Oryctolagus cuniculus: one gene and its partners. The protein of the gene in region 2 interacts with the protein of the main gene of each other region in a pairwise test. Links are inferred from orthologs where the notes say so. Each region holds a gene or a part of one and is shown on either strand. Other genes may lie near its edges.

Region 1 (4,891 bases), on a different chromosome or scaffold from region 2:
TACTACGCCACAGCGCCAGCCTGATTTTCATCCTAAGGAATTCCTGGAATAGGGAATTTTGCTCTAGTGTGGTTGCCCTTTATCCCAACCATACAAGAAGGGTCTTAGATCTCCCACCTGGCCTAAGTGCTTCCCAAAAAGTCCCATAAACTCACTGAGGTATTTCCAGTAGACTTTGCAAGAGTGTTGGGAGAACAGATGCTTTTATAAGAGGACAGAAGATAACAAAACAAAACCACTCCCACACTTCTGATGGAAATTTCTTGTTTTTCCCTCCACTGTTTTCCATTGGCCCACATCTAATATTTCTTTGCTCTTTACTCTGTCTCCATTTATTTTCTAAAACACCATGAATATGTGAATATGACTATGAACAATAACCAAGAACTATAAATCCTTACTGATCCCAGAAGGTTGGGGATTCTAAACAATAAAAATATGTCCTCTGCCTGCTTTTCTGAAAAGAATATTTTAGAGACACAAAAGGGCGTTGTTAACAACAAACAAGCTCTGAGGACATTCCTGGCTTGATGGTGGGCCCTAAGCCATCAGGTAGTGATGCAACAAAACTGTAGACACCAAGCAAAAAAGAGCTCCCTGCAGCCCTTGCCTGGGCTCCCTTCCTCATTTCTCAGCCCACATCCTGACTGCATCAACCCGTTTGCTATACAGCTTCTAGCCACTATTGTTTTCAGCAGCCAGAATTCTCAGTCTAAAGAGAAAGTCCCCTTTGTCCTCCCCATCCATGATTTAATTTACATTCTCCTGAACGCCCCATTCACTACGTTTTTAGGCTAAGAAGTCTCACAATTGTACTAGATCCTGAATTTGAATTTCCCTGTGTTTCCACTTTTTGGAAATTTGCCCAGGTCAGCCACTGGATAGTCCCAGAATTCAGCTTTACCTTAGAGAAAATCCTTACTGTTGATGATTTCTTATAGCATTTCTAACTACTGTGATATATTTTCCCTTGGATTCCTGTATTTTTTCTTGCTGAGAATACACACGTGTCCATAAATATGTAGGGGCATATTATGAAAAAATTATTCATGTACTTAAAAAATTTTTGTACCAAATGAAACATCTTTTAATTCCATTTCCCATGAACTTTCTGAACTCCCTTTGTACATGCGCACAGATGCACACATATGCCCTTTGCTCTGAGTCAGTAAAGTTTCTACTATTTTTTTCCAACTTGACAGCATTCCTAGAGAGATGTCTCTCAAGTTTTCAGAGGGTTGCTCTAAGTTGCATTTTCTTCTTTCTCACTTAGATGTACCATTGCTGGCATTCCCCGATCCTTCAACACCACGATTCACAAAACAAAGTCACTAACTGACTTTCTACATTTCTGTCTCCCTGTTCCCACATATAAACATTCTTACATGTGAATGCATAAAACTTATTAGGATATTAATGGCCAAAATTTGACCACAAAGTAATATGAATGCAAAGAAATGCCAATTGCTAATAGAAAGCATGTAGTTCATTAATTAGGAAGCACTAGAAAAGAAACTTCCTTGTGCTCATTAGACAATCTTGATGGGAAGACAGAATATTGCTAGCAGACTATGGCTTACCTAAATGTACTAAAATCCAGTATCTTCGTGTGTTCAGAGTCAGCAGCTGCAAATATCTGCTTGATCTCTTTGGATCTCGGTTCTAGTTCTTTCAGCTTTTGTAGGGCAAATTCAAGGTTGCTAAATGGAAACTAGAAGAGAGAAATGAAAGACAATTTTAAATATGCCTGAGATTTCAGGGGGCCAAATCTTTCTCGTGGCCAGCAAGGAGACATCGCCCTGTGAACCTGAAGTTAGCTGGACATGTCTTTCCATACAGCCCAACAGCGAGAAGACATGATGAGCTTTGTATCACCTCAGTTAAGGCTTTAGGACAATGGATGACATTAGCATAGGTCTCAGATCGGAGAGAAATGAGCTTGAGGGACAGCAAGTCATAGAGATCAGAAATCAAGCCCTGCTTCCACTTCAGCGTCCTCCTTGTAACCCTTGGCCATCGGCCTAGTATGTTCAGAGACCCTAATGGAGAGAACGGGGATTCAAAGTCGGATCTATGAATCTCTCTTTTCTATAGACCTTCACAATGGGCCTCCCTGGAATTGCTGGCCACCAGGTGACGCACTGATCGGAGCAAGGCTAGGTGTCAAAGATCTACACAGGCACTGTAATCCCTGTTCAGCTGTCTCCTACCTTGTGATTAGCTTTTTGACTAAGAATACTCCTTATTAAATCCAGGAAAGCATAAGGTTGTAAATAATTATAGCTAAGAGACCAAAAATGGGGAGATGAAATTTTAAACTAAAAACATTGGTGGTGATTTAGTATAAAGCTGCCTCTCTTCCACAGAAAATGATCCAGGTGGTTTGGCGCCTAGTGCAGCCCCCACTCCCTCTGCTTTTTTCGCATTTCCTTTCATCTATTTCCATGATAGGATCTATTAGCTCTTTTGAAAAGACTCTTCAAACTGATATTAAAGGGTATATTAATCTTTCTCTGCTTAGAATAACCTTGTTAAAAGTAGTTTTAAAATAATACAATTTTCACTTGGGGTGCTGATAACAGATAATGTCCTACCATGCTTTTATCATTCTGAAAGGAGAAAAGTCCTTAATATCTTAAAAGATATATATGTGTGTGTGTGTGCATATACACACACACACACACACAAAACTACATACAGATGCTACACAACTTCTAATGGGAACTTGGAAATGCATTTAATATACCCAATCTAGCAAACATCTTAGATTAGCAACCACGAGGCTGACTGGGAGCTGTGCTCGCTGCCACTGCCCAGCATAACAAGCAAAGATCTAATCACAGCGCACTAGCCCAGGACAAGATCCAAATTCAATACTCAAAGTCCAGCTTCTACTGAATGCATACTGCTTTAGCACTATGACAAGTCAACACATTTAAGCCCAGGCATCCCGAGGGTCCTCAGGATGTATTAAAGTATAGGTTCACCTTCTGTTTGAAAACAGAACCCAAATTTATAATGGCTACACTGACTGAGCTTGCTGTGGGCCACATAATCATATCTAATCTTCACAGCAGCTCTATGAAATAGGCATTCTTGTCATTCCTATTTCAAGGATGAGGAAATTGAAGCCCAAAGAAGATACTGCCTAACGTCCCAGCTATTAAGTGTGGTATCAGGCAGGGTTCCAAGCCAGGCCTGCTGGTCTCCAGACTCTAACAGCTGGAGCACTAAACTTCTTGCCTCATTTCAGTGTTTTCAAACAGCCACTGGTTCATGGCTTTATGATAACCTGAATCCCTAACACCACACGTGGAGAGATGGTGTGGCAGCCACGAAGGGTACTGCTCAGGCCTCCTGTCAAGAGCCCCTGCAATGAAGAGCATTGTTAGTTGGCAGCCTCCAGCTGCCTTACCTTCCAGACGGACACACACAGGATTCACACACAGTGCCGGGTTGTTCTTACTCACTGACTGAGCACAAGGGCCAGGGTGATGTGGGGGAGGGGTGCCAACACTAGAGCTGGCCCTCTCCTGCTTGATGTGGGACCTCTCTGATGGGCACTCTTTGCTCTGGGGCTCCCTATTGACCTAGCTGGGACTTTCTCAGAGCTAGGTTGCCAGCTGAGGTTTTCCCTACCCCCGCTCCTTCCCTCCCCTCTCTTTTCACAGGGGTCAGATCTGCACCCCAGTCTAAAGGCTCTTCAGCCTCCACATCTGTGGGCCTCCTCCTCTATTCTTCTGAGGCATTTCACCCAATACATCTCTTACACACCTAGTTCTATCTTGGCATCTGCTTCTCAGGGGATCCAAACTAACAGAGGTGATGGGATCTACAGCAAGAGACTAATCCTAGCAACTTAGCAATCTTAGCAACCTGAGAATTTTTTATACATAAATGAGGCAATATTGGTATCATGTGTATATATAAAAATGTACCTAAGTATCATGACTTACAGGTAGAGTTTTAAGATAAATTTTTTTCCAGGTAGATTTTTCAATATTAGACAATGATTGCCAAATACATGTTTGCACACTGAATGAGTCTACACTTAACATAAAGATTTTTATCAATATGTTTTTTCCTGATCAGCATTGACATAATAGCATATTTAGTAATAGTGCCCATCTGCTCTCTTATTTCCTTTTTTAACTTTTTTCATCTTATTTCAAATAAAAAAATCTTTGAGTTCACTATTGGCAATCTCTCCTTAACCTCTGACTTAGGCCTTTAGATGGTCACTGTTAGAGGAAGTTGCAACGCCAGCAACTATCAGATTCCCTTGGGGTTTCTGTTTGTTTAGGTCTCAGCCTTTTCTGTTGGCCTTTGCCAATTAACTGGATGGCACAGTGTGTGGCATCAGCTTTTCTTGCTTTCCTATAGTTATTTAACTTCATTCTGAAAACACTGTTAGTGTCAGCAGAAAACCCAGGAAACTTGATTCAGCCCGGGCCTGCCTCCTGCCTGTGCCTGGAATCCGTGATGCTGAGCAGTAGAGAGCCCAGCATATAAACAGAGTACACAAGGACCTGGCCTCTGTGATGAGACCTGTGGCCAAGTTGCATGGATCCATTATTCATGCCCACATGTGTGAATGCACAATGTAAAACTAGTGGCAAGACCAACAAAAAAAGACCATAGAGAAAGAAAAACACACATTGAAGAAGGCTGGGAGGCAAGTCAAGAATTATACAAAGTAAATTCACCCTATCTGAATGCTTCTCCATGTATGTTAAGGTGTACTCATCAGCACTGAGCAACATGAACAGGTAGCCATTCACGTTCACTGTGGTTCCAATGTATAACTCCTCGGACTTGATATATTTTGATGGTTCACTTTTAAAGACTTCCTGTCCAGGCTTCTTTACACGACTTCTTTTCAAGAACAGCC
Region 2 (5,503 bases):
TTAAAGGGCATGCCCAGTAAATGTTTATTCAAAGATAAAACTATGTGGGGAAAAAAAAATGTATGGGGCAATGGTTAAAATCAGGATGCAAGAGTCAGATCCCCTGTGGGTCTGCTACTGATCTGAGTGAGCCAGAGCACATGCCTGCAGCCATTTGAGAAATGGGGATAGACACGATTCTTGCCACCTCCAGAGGGAAGAGCCCAGCTTATCTCAGGAGGCCAGGGCACAGGAGTGCACCCTGAGTCTGACTTGCTGGTTCATCCCCAAATAGCCACAACTGCCCAGGCTAGGCGAGGTGGAAGCCAGGAGTTTCATCCACATCTCCCACATGGGTGGCAGAGGCCCATGCACTTGGGCCATCTTCTGCTGCTTTTCCCAGACCATGAGCAGGGAGCTGGATCAGAAGTGGAGCAGCCAGGAACTCGAATCAGTGCCCATACGGGATGCCGGCGTCACAGGCAGCAGCTTTACCCTCCACACCAGCCTCGGGTCCCTACCTCTTAGTGATATACAAGTATATAATGAAAAACTCATGGGTGAAATAACACTTAGGATTTGTTTAAAAATACGGGAGGTAACTGTGTACAGATAAGAGGCTACCAATGAGGCAAAATCAGCCAGGGTTTCTAACTGTTGAAGCTGGATACCGTTCTTTTTGTGTCTTTTCAGAGTCACTATCATAAACAGTTAAAAGACTAATGCTGAAACCTTGTTCATACAATCAAGTACAAATGATTAAGAATTAATTATTAGGTGGGAGCCAGCGCTGTGGTGCAGCAGGTTAACACCCTGGCCTGCAGTGCCAGCATCCCATATGGGTGTCGGTTCGAGACCCGGCTGTTCCAATTCCCATCCAGCTCTCTGCTGTGGCCTGGGAAAGCAGTGGCAGATGGCCCAAGTCCTCTCTCTCTGTCTCTACCTCTCTCTGTAACTCTTTCAAATAAATAAAAATAAATCTTTAAAAAAAAGAATTAACGATAAAAATATAAAAATGGAAACTTTCTTGCCAAGTGTGAAGTCCAGGTACATATTTAGACCAAAAATAGTTGCCTTGCAGCCAAATCAGCACTTCTTAAGAAAAATCCCTGACTTCTAGGTTACCTGAGACATCAGGGAATAACTGGTTACTAACAATCACTTTGCCTGATATTTTAGCCAGAAACCTGATTTTATTTTAAATAGAAACATTCAATTCTACTCTTTAACACTTATTTCAAAGTTATGCCCTTTCACTAAATTATTTTAAAGTCCCAGGATCCTGAAAGTTAAATCCTCAGGCAAATGAAAGCTTTCCACAGAAGTCTATGCCAAAATAGGATTTTTTTTAACCCCACTGGTTACTTCTGAAGAGAATAAAAGGTTAAATGGAGGAAAGCATTACACAGATTGAGTGTTGTTGTTTCAGAACGAATTAGAAGCCAGAGGAGCACAGGCAGGGCTGGGGGCCCCAGGGAAGCATCGTCTTGTGAGGGATTGTGCTGCAGAGCAGGGACTCTGGGCTTTTCTTCCTCTGTGAAAACAGGTGTCTTCGCTGCTCCTTCCAGGGCCCCAGGGACAATTCAGTAAGCACCTGAGCAGGCCGGGCTCCCACCCACAGTCCGTCCTGGAGGACCACAATCCCGCAACCAGGCTGAATGAGGTCTGTATTTGGCTAGGCTCACAACAACAACAACAACAACAAACAGCTACTGCCAATATTGAGAAATCAGGAGAGTGCAGGTGCAACTGTGGATTGAAGCTTCTTTTAGAAAATTGCTGGGCGAGGGGCTCCTCCTCCAGGGTCCCCACCACTACACGCTCCCACACCTGGCCAACGCCACACAGCGTTAGGTTCCTTCCTTGGCCCTGCCCTTTCACACTCTTTGCACCTCTCCTGGCCTGGCAAGCGTGGAGGCCCACCAGCACCACCTGTTGCTCCACCCTTCCGCAGGCATCATCCACTGTCCTGGAACCAACCCTGTGCGTCATGCCTTTTCCACGGGGCTCCCAGGCTCTCTGGGGGAAGGGACCCTGTCGCTCTCTCCTTTGTGTCCCTAGGGCCCAGCAAAAAGCATGACCTAGATAATGGAGAATTCAGTGGCTGTCTCCTGGATTTACTAGGAGGTCGTTAGAGCTAAACCATTATAAAGATGTAACATTTTATATCATAGCTCGTTACCATAGTTACCAAATAAAGAGGTCAAGGACGTTAAGATGTTCTACAAAATGAGAACAAGCTTCCGAGTTTCACAAGTCACTCAGAAGTCACTAAATGAACAGGTAAAGCAGAGACAACAGGTAGGCACGCTCCTTACATCATTCATTCATTCGCTGAACTGAGACTATCAAATACTTACTGTATGCTTTCTATAAGTACCAGGAGAAAGCAGACAAATCAGACAACTACCTGTTTACAGAAAGCTACAGCCTAGTGGGGGAAGACAGAAAAGGAGAGGCAAATAAATAGAACAGTTTCAACTCAGAGTGCTAGGAAGAAAATGAAACAAAATAACAAGACAGAATGATCCCTTGCAGAGGGTAGCCGAGGAAGGCCTCGCTGAAAATGAGACATCTGGACAGAGCAAGGAACAAAAAGGTCCTGGACGCGACGTAAACAGGAGAGGCAGCAGGTGCAAAGTCCCGGGGACACGGAGGTTAGCAAGTTCCTGGCAGGTGGGAGGATTAGCGGGCCCAGGGAGCAGTGCTCTGGGGAAGAGCTGTGGTGGGCAGGGCCTGCTCCGCGTAGCTGAGCACTGGGCGCGCAATGACAAGGCACAGGATGGGTGGGGAGGGGGCCCCCACCACACTCACGCCAGCAAGGGGCAGTATCCGGCCCTATAGTCCACCAGTGTGCACAGACTTGCGTCCAGGTGCTCCCACAGACAGCCCAGTCTTGAAGATCAGACATGGCCCCACTTTCCCGAAGGGGCAGCCAGCGCCTAATCCAAGGTCGCGGGGACCACCGAGCATCCGGGGCGAGAGGGCAGCTGCGCGGCCCGCCTGGAGGAGGGGGCCACAGACCCCCGCGGGCAGGTCTGCGGGGCCAGGTTCCGCGGTCCTCGCCGCTGGCAGCGGGCGGGAGGGGGCGACTGCGGCACGGGCGGGCAGGGGCTGCGGCCCGCCAGCAACCCCGCGGCTCCCGCCAGCCCCGGAGGCCCGGCCCCAGAGGCCCCGCGCCCACCCCGCTCCCCGCCGCGCCCGACCCCAGCACCCACGCCGGGCCTAGCCAGCCCTTCGGGCTCACCTCGCCTCCCTGCAGCCGCGCCGGGGTAGAGGGCGGGCGGGCGCACTGGCGGCGCTGCGCGCTGGCCGCTCCCGGCTAGGCTGGCCGCCCCGCCCCGCCCCGCTCCGCCCCGCCGCCGCCGCCGCAGTGGGTGTGAGGGGCGCGGGGCGCTTCGACCCTTCCGGTCGGCTCCCTTCCCCTCAGCCGCCGCCGCCGCCGCCGCCGCGGCGCCCGGCCTGACCGATCCGTGACTCCACCAATCAGTGCGCGGAGAGCCCGGCGGGTGCGGCCAATCGCGCTAGGGGGCGGGCCGCTGTCGGGCGACTCGGGCGGGGCCAGGCCAGGCCGGGTCTGCGTCCGAGGTCTGGTGCAGGGTCCGGAGGCGGCGTGGGGCAGTGCCGGCGTGTAGCGGCGTGTAGTGGGCTGGAGAGACGGGCGTGGCTGAGGTCGCCCGATGACCCCTCTCTCCGGGCAAAGAGGGTCCGCAGAGCTGCGGCCGAACGCCGAGCCGGGAGGAGGCGAGAGAGGATGGGCCGCAGGCGAGGCGCGGCGCCTCAGGACCGGGGCTACTCGTGGGTCCGAGCCCCGGGGCTGCAGGTGCAGGCGCCCAGCAGCGAGGCGACCTGGAAGGAGACAGGAGGAGGGAGGCGCGGCGCCTGGGACTCAGCTCGCTGCGGACGTGCCGCACGCACGCCCCACTGGACGGGTTTAGGGGTGCGGCCAAAGGTCAGGGTTCAGGCGCAGGGTGCGAGGAGATGACCGTCGTGCACCAGTCTTCCCGGCCGACAGGAGCAGGAGGGAGTGTGCTGGCTGACAGGGCTCAGGGGGAGCAGAAGGGCCCCCTAGGGACCGGACAAGTACAGCTGGGATGAGGGGCGGAGGCGGGGCTCCCCGAGGGAAAAGCTCCGAGGCCAGTCGTGGGCTAGGGGCGTCGGATTTCGGGCACCGATAGAGTTGGGGACCGTGATTGATAAGTGGTGAGTAAGGAGCTGGGGCAGCAGTCCCGGGACGCCGAGGTCCACAGAGCAGGGGGAGTAGCAGGACCCTGCAGGTCTGGGGTGGAGTGTTGCAGAATCTGGGGAGAGAAGCGAGCCTGTGACCCAGGTTCTGAAGGGCCGGGCTCGTGCAGGCACCACGGCCTCAGAGGAGGGGTGGGGCAGAGAACGGGATCTAGCCGTGGTGTCCTCCCATGGCCGCCAGGGGGAGTTTTCTAAAATTGAGTATCACTAATCCCGGCTCCTGAACGTGGTCTGCATTGAAATGGACCCATCTGGTGGGCTCCTGCCACCTGCCTCAGCTAGCTGCTCAGGAGAAAACAGGGAACCTAAAATTGCCGTTACTGAAAAAGATGAGAAACTAGTAAAAGCCGGGCTATCAGAGATGAGGTCCCAACAAGGAGCAAATGTGCATAGACACATCCCCCCAGGCTGGGAAGAGACAGTGGATTTCCAGAGGCACTTGGGCCTGGTTTTTAGCAGTCACCCGGTGCACGGTAAGTAACCTAAGTTTGCTGTCTGTGCTTATGCAATTAGGCATATGTCACTGAGGTTTCTGTAAGAATTCTGGTTATTCCTGGTTTGTCCAACACAGTAGACATTTGTGGACACAGAGCTGGGGGGACGTGGGACAGGGCAGCTGGTCTGGCACAGAGAATCCTGATTGAGGCCTGCAAGCGTGATATGAGCCAGGCAGGACTCATGTGTGTGACTGACACCAGTCGTACCTGCCAGCCAGGGAGAAGCAGGGGCAGCAGCAGAACTTCCAGACAGGAGGAAGCCCCTGCAGAGGCTGGGCAGGCAGAGAGGGCACTTGGGCCCCGAGGCTGAGCAATGAGGAGCCATGTGCTATGTTCAGGAACCTGTCACCTGGTCTTGCTGGCGATGGGGCAAGCGGACTGGAGAGTTGTGGGCCTGAGGGTGAACTGGCACTGCTGATTTGTGGCACAAGGACTCAGCTCTCCGACAGCTCTGGTTTAACCCAGAGCACTTGTTGATGTATTTCATTTTTTAAAAAAGATTTATTTATTTGAAAGAATTACACAGAGAAGGAGAGGCAGAGAGAGAAGTCTTCCATCCACTGGTTCGCTTCTCAAATGGCTGCAGTGACCGGAGGGGAGCTGATCTGAAGCCAGGAGCCAGGAGCTTCCTCCAGGTCTCCCATGCGAGGCTCCTGGTTTCAGCCTAGCCCAGTCATGACCATTGTGGCCATTTGGGGAGTGAACCAGTGAATGGAAGGTCTCTTTCTCTCTCTGTCTCTGTAACTGGGACTTTCAAATAAAATAAATCTTTAAAAAATATT
Region 3 (4,891 bases), on a different chromosome or scaffold from region 2:
GGTTTCCCCATCTGGAGAATGGGGACAGTGACAGCAGCCACCCCTATTTTTCTGAGCCAGGGAAGTTGCGTGGCGAGGAGGGGGCAGAGCTGGGTTCTCAGCGGGAGCAGGGCTCCAGAACCCTCAGGCAATGGCAGGAACCATGTCTGTCTTCTTAGGGCAGGTGGGTCAAGGTCACCATCAGTACCCAGGAAGGAGCCTGCTGGCGGAACAGACTGTCAGAAGGTCCTTGCCTGCTCCACACTCACCCTCGGGTGGGCTCTGATCCTTCAAGCTGATGGAAGAGACCCTGAGGTAGGAGTCAGCGAGCTGGTCTCCAGGCCCTGCCTCGGCCTCCTTCTCGAAGGACTCGCTGCAAGGCCGCGTGAGTGGGGTGAGGAATGACTTACACTGGCGAGCAAACACCTGGTCCCACCCAGAGCCTGGGCACCAGCACCCTGCTCGACCACGAGCCCTCTCTTGGCTTCTCCCGTCTCCCCCTGTGCTCCCTTCCCGTGCTGCACCCCACCTGGAGCCAGCAAAGCCAAGGCTGCAGTTGTGACCCCTTCCTGCCCATCCAGGCCTCAGCCCTCTCCCTCGGCGGTCTCCATGCCATGGCCCCAGGGAGAGGCCTCTGTGCGCCCCTCAGCAGGGGGCTCCTCTCTCCAACTACAGCTCCCTGCAGTGTGGAGGCCACTCACCTGTCTGTCCCCGGGACTGGCACCTCTGCCTCCAGGGAGTAGATGAAGAGCTCGCTGGCCTCCGCTGGCTCCCTCTGTGGTGGCAGGAAGGGGCGCTGCCCGCAGCCGTCCTCGCGGGGGCTCTCTGACTGTGGGGGGAGGGGGCGCAGCCTCCTGAGGCCGCTGTGCAGCCGGGCCTCTGCAGGCCACCCAGCATTAGGCCAGCTAAGGCCTAGGAGGAAGCTGCCCGGGGCCTCAGCCTCGGACAGAGCCAGGACCTGTGCCAAGAGCCCTGCTCCCTGACCTGGTCCTGTGCTTCCCCTGCACTGTCGGCCCTATGGCTCTACCCTCTAGGAATCCACTTAGATCAAGTTCAAGAACGAGCAGGCCAAACCAAGGTGAGAGGCTGGAATACTGGCTACCTTGAGCTAGGGGAGGGGCACCAGGGGTCTCCTAGGAGGCAGAAAATACTCGGTTTTGACCGCGGTAGTCGATACATGGGAATCACCCAGGGAGTCCACCGAGCTCTGTGCCTCGTCGGTGCGTTACTGCATGTGGACAAGGGGGCTTCGGAAAGGGCACAGAAATGCATATTATGAAAAAAGCTACGCGTGGACTTCCTTTTTTTTTTTTTTTTTTGCACCCTAATCAACTTACTATTTAATTCCATTTGTTGACAAACTTTTGGAAGTTTCCTTGTCTTGCACCATAATGAAGAAGAAAACCGCACAGCGCGCTAAAAAGTTCTGCTTGGAAAACAACAGAGCTACAGCTGCTGGGGCCCGGCCCTGCTCCTGGTGCTGGCTTCCTGCAGAAGCCCTCTGAGGCACAGGAGAACCTAAAGCCCAGAGAGGCAAAGCCTCTTACTCCAGGTCACACAGCCAGGAAAGGGAGGGCTCAGGGCTCCATCGACTCAAATGCCCCTCACTCAGATACAGAGGGGCTGGGCTGCTCTAGGGCCATGCTCTTAGACCCAAAGCACCTACTTCCTGAAGGCTCCTGGTCTATCCTGGGAGGTCTCACTGTGCAACAGACCTGGGGCTCCCCGTCCTGTCCTCTCCACACCTCTGGAGTCAAAGTAAGAGACCCCCCGGCCCCACGTCCTGGGTGGGCAGCCGTAGCGCAGAGGCTGCAGGCAGGGCTGGGGTGGGCGGGCTCCGTACCTCGCTCAGCAGACCTGCCAGGTTCTGTGGCTCCACCGTGTCCAGAATGGAGTCGTCCAGGCTCTCGGCCTTCATGGGGGTAAAGTAGCAATCCAGCTCCCGCACATCCAGGATCGTCTTGAGGGGCTCCTGGCCAGCCCGTTCCGCCCAGCGGCCGTGGGGCTGGTAGCTGCGCTTGGGGTGGAAGGCCGAGCCGTCCGCCACATCGTCATCTCCTAGCTTGAGGGAAAGGGGAAGGTCAGGCAGCAGCCCTGCTCACCAGCTCCAGTGAGGACCACGGACACTGCGCAGGCCGCAGCCATTTGCAGACAACTTCAGGCTGAACTGCACACGCACTGCTCTGCGTCCCTGCACGCACGTTCGGCTACGTTTCAATTAGCTAACGTGTTGAAAACTCCTGATTTTTGTCCCGGGCCTGCTCTTCCTAAAGGCTCCCCTACCTCAGCCATTCTTTCCAGTTGCTGAGCCCCCTCATTCCTCGCTTGTTCTGTACACCGTATTTCAGCTGAAAATCCTGTTAGCCCCGCCAGACAAACACTTCCAGAACATGGGTGTGCTCGCTCTGGTCCTGTGAATCCACTACTCCTCCCAACACTCTGGATGGACAGACTGCAGAGGACACAGGCTCTGAGCCAGCCCACCCCACCCAGGGTCAATCTCACACCTGAGTCCTAGGTATAAGACTCTGGGCCTCAGCTTCCCCAGTTGATGTGGGGCTAAGAAGAGCCCCTACAAGGGCCGGTGCTGTGGATAGCGGGTTAAGCCACCATCTGCAATGCTGGTATCCCATATGGGCACCAGTTCGAGTCCTGGCTGCTACTCTTCCAATCCAGCTCCCTGATAATGGCTTGGGAAAAGCAGTGGAAGATGACCCAAGCGCTTGGGCCCCTGCACCCATTGGGAGACCCGGAAGAAGCTCCCGAGTCCTGGGTTTGGCCTTGCCCAGTCCTGGCTGTTGCAGCCATCTTGGGAGTGAACCGGCAGATGGAAGATCTCTGCCTCTCTTCTCTCTATATAACTCTTTCAAATAGACAAATAAATCATTAAAAAGAGAGAAGAGCCCTACTCGGCGAGGTGTAAATGGGCTGACCTAGTGAGAGGCTCAGCACCACGGAGCTGCCGAACATCATTCCCGCTGTTACCCGGGCTGGGCAGGGAAATGTCAGGGCCTGAGTGGGCGGAACCAGGCGCCCTGACCTGGCCCGCAGAGGGAGACTTCCCTGAGGAGCTGGCACCGAGGCCAGGACCTGAAATATGACATCGTTCCTGAAACAAACTCCAAACCTAGAGTGTGCCGCCAGCTTCTAACCCATCAGCTCCCAGCTGGCTCCTCTCCAGGGCCAACAATTGTTGATTCAATCTTAAGGCCACCTTGGTCCTTCTCTATCCCTCACAACCAGCTGTTCCCCTCTGAAGTCCACCTAGAATCCCACCCTTTCTTGCTGCTCCAGCCTCTTCGCCTGGATGACAGCAGCAGCCTCCCACCCCCACTCCCCACCCCAGCCCTCAGTGTTTGCCACCTGCGGCCTCGGCACCTGTCAGCCCTGAGTTGGATCCAAGCCTCCCTTGGCCCCAGCTCATCCAGGGGCACAGGGAGGAGTAGGGCAGGACAACAGGGCGTGTCCTGGGAGCTCATGGAGCTCTTCTCCCCACTCCATCCCGGGGGCACCCCCAGCCTCCCTGCTCCTCCCGGAACGTTCTCAGTACAGTCCTGCCTCCTGGCCTTGGCAGTGCCCTGAGCTGCACGCCTCGCTTGCTCCAGCTCTGCTCAGATGTCCTCCTCCCTCAAGACCCTTTCTTCTTCCCCTAAAACTGCCCTCCTCCACTCTGCTTCTCGGAGTCTTTTTCTTCCACAGCGTTGATGAGCTCCCAGCATGCTGAGCAGCACTTATATTTCCCACGACACTGTCCCTCTCCGACATCACAAGTAAGCCGTGAAGGGAGGGGCTGCCTGCCCTGCTCACTGCTCTACCTCCGAAAACCAGAACAGCACCCGGCACCGTGCGTGGGAATCGCATGAGCGCAGAGCTGTCCAGGCCGGCGCTGCGGGGCTGATGGCATGCTCCGGCCGCAGAGAGACGGAGAGAGGGAATGACGACCCGGAGGACAGCAAGGTGCGGGCAGGGCCCCTCCTCTGCCCGCCCCAGGCGTTCCACTCCCCAGGAGACTCACCAGCCGCTTTGCCCAAAGTGGCAGCTTGCCGTTAGTCAGCAGGCAGCGAGGATCTGGAGAGACACAAGGAATCCATGGGAGTAGGACCAACAGCCTGGCAGACAAACGGGCAACGTGCACAGGTGGGCGGCTTCCCAAAGAGGCGGCACAGGAACTCACAGATCGAAAGGTGCTCAACCTCACTAATTGCCAAGGAATGCAAATTTAAACAATAGAATATAATGCTGTACTCGTAAGCCTGACCAAGATTAAAATACTTAACACTGCTGAATGTTGACAAAAAGTAGGGGGGGTGGAGGGCCCGGCACGGCGATGCATGGAGCAGTAATTGGATTTGGAGAGCTCTTGGGGTTCTCTCAAAAAAATAAGCCAACTCTTGGGTGGTGCTAAGAGAGGGCAGGCAGGTGGGTGAGCTGCTTCTGAGAGGAAGGAGAGAACAATCCCCAGGCTCTAAGACAGCTAATGGACATAAATAACACGATGTGTTCCCGGGCTATGTCCAAAGGCATATTAAGTTCAGGAAAATTCACACCAGACTGGTACGGGGTCAACCGGAGAGGACACCAGACTGGGCATGAGGGTGGCCACAGGCATTACGGACGAGCTCACTTTGTAACGTTCGCCTCTCTGAGGCTAAACTCTCACACCGCTGTTGCCCAGGAGGCAGATCCCCAGGCAGCCCCTGCCTGTGTCCCCTTGCAGGGACAGCCCACCCCCACCCTAAAAGCACGCTGGTCATCACCATTGCCAGCCTTGCTGGAAGCCACATGGCCAAGGGCAACCAAGGGAAGCCTGCCAGGGGCTTCTGGGCATCCTCTTGCAAGGGGATTCTCAGGAGGGAATGGCTCGCATCCTCAACCTGTCTCAAAGTTGCTGAGTGACCACTCTCCCTCTTGC

The links.
Region 1: the proteins of MAPK9 (region 2) and EFHC2 interact in binary tests that used the Homo sapiens proteins (3 or more experiments, as listed by UniProt). The two-hybrid records come from large-scale screens. The link is inferred for Oryctolagus cuniculus from reciprocal best matches to the Homo sapiens genes MAPK9 and EFHC2.
Region 3: the proteins of MAPK9 (region 2) and WDR62 interact in binary tests that used the Homo sapiens proteins (3 or more experiments, as listed by UniProt). The two-hybrid records come from large-scale screens. The link is inferred for Oryctolagus cuniculus from reciprocal best matches to the Homo sapiens genes MAPK9 and WDR62.

Annotation. Positions count from the first base shown.
Region 1 is NC_091453.1:30,094,732-30,099,622, forward strand, and holds part of EFHC2 (EF-hand domain-containing family member C2), read right to left. Parts: coding exon 4,707-4,891; intron 1,712-4,706; coding exon 1,581-1,711; intron 1-1,580. UniProt on the Homo sapiens protein: Microtubule inner protein (MIP) part of the dynein-decorated doublet microtubules (DMTs) in cilia axoneme, which is required for motile cilia beating.
Region 2 is NC_091437.1:67,212,785-67,218,287, reverse strand, and holds the start of MAPK9 (mitogen-activated protein kinase 9), read right to left. Parts: upstream 3,421-5,503; 5' UTR 3,227-3,420; intron 1-3,226. UniProt on the Homo sapiens protein: Serine/threonine-protein kinase involved in various processes such as cell proliferation, differentiation, migration, transformation and programmed cell death.
Region 3 is NC_091449.1:19,667,732-19,672,622, reverse strand, and holds part of WDR62 (WD repeat-containing protein 62), read right to left. Parts: intron 4,048-4,891; coding exon 3,995-4,047; intron 2,042-3,994; coding exon 1,823-2,041; intron 809-1,822; coding exon 681-808; intron 353-680; coding exon 249-352; intron 1-248. UniProt on the Homo sapiens protein: Required for cerebral cortical development. Plays a role in neuronal proliferation and migration.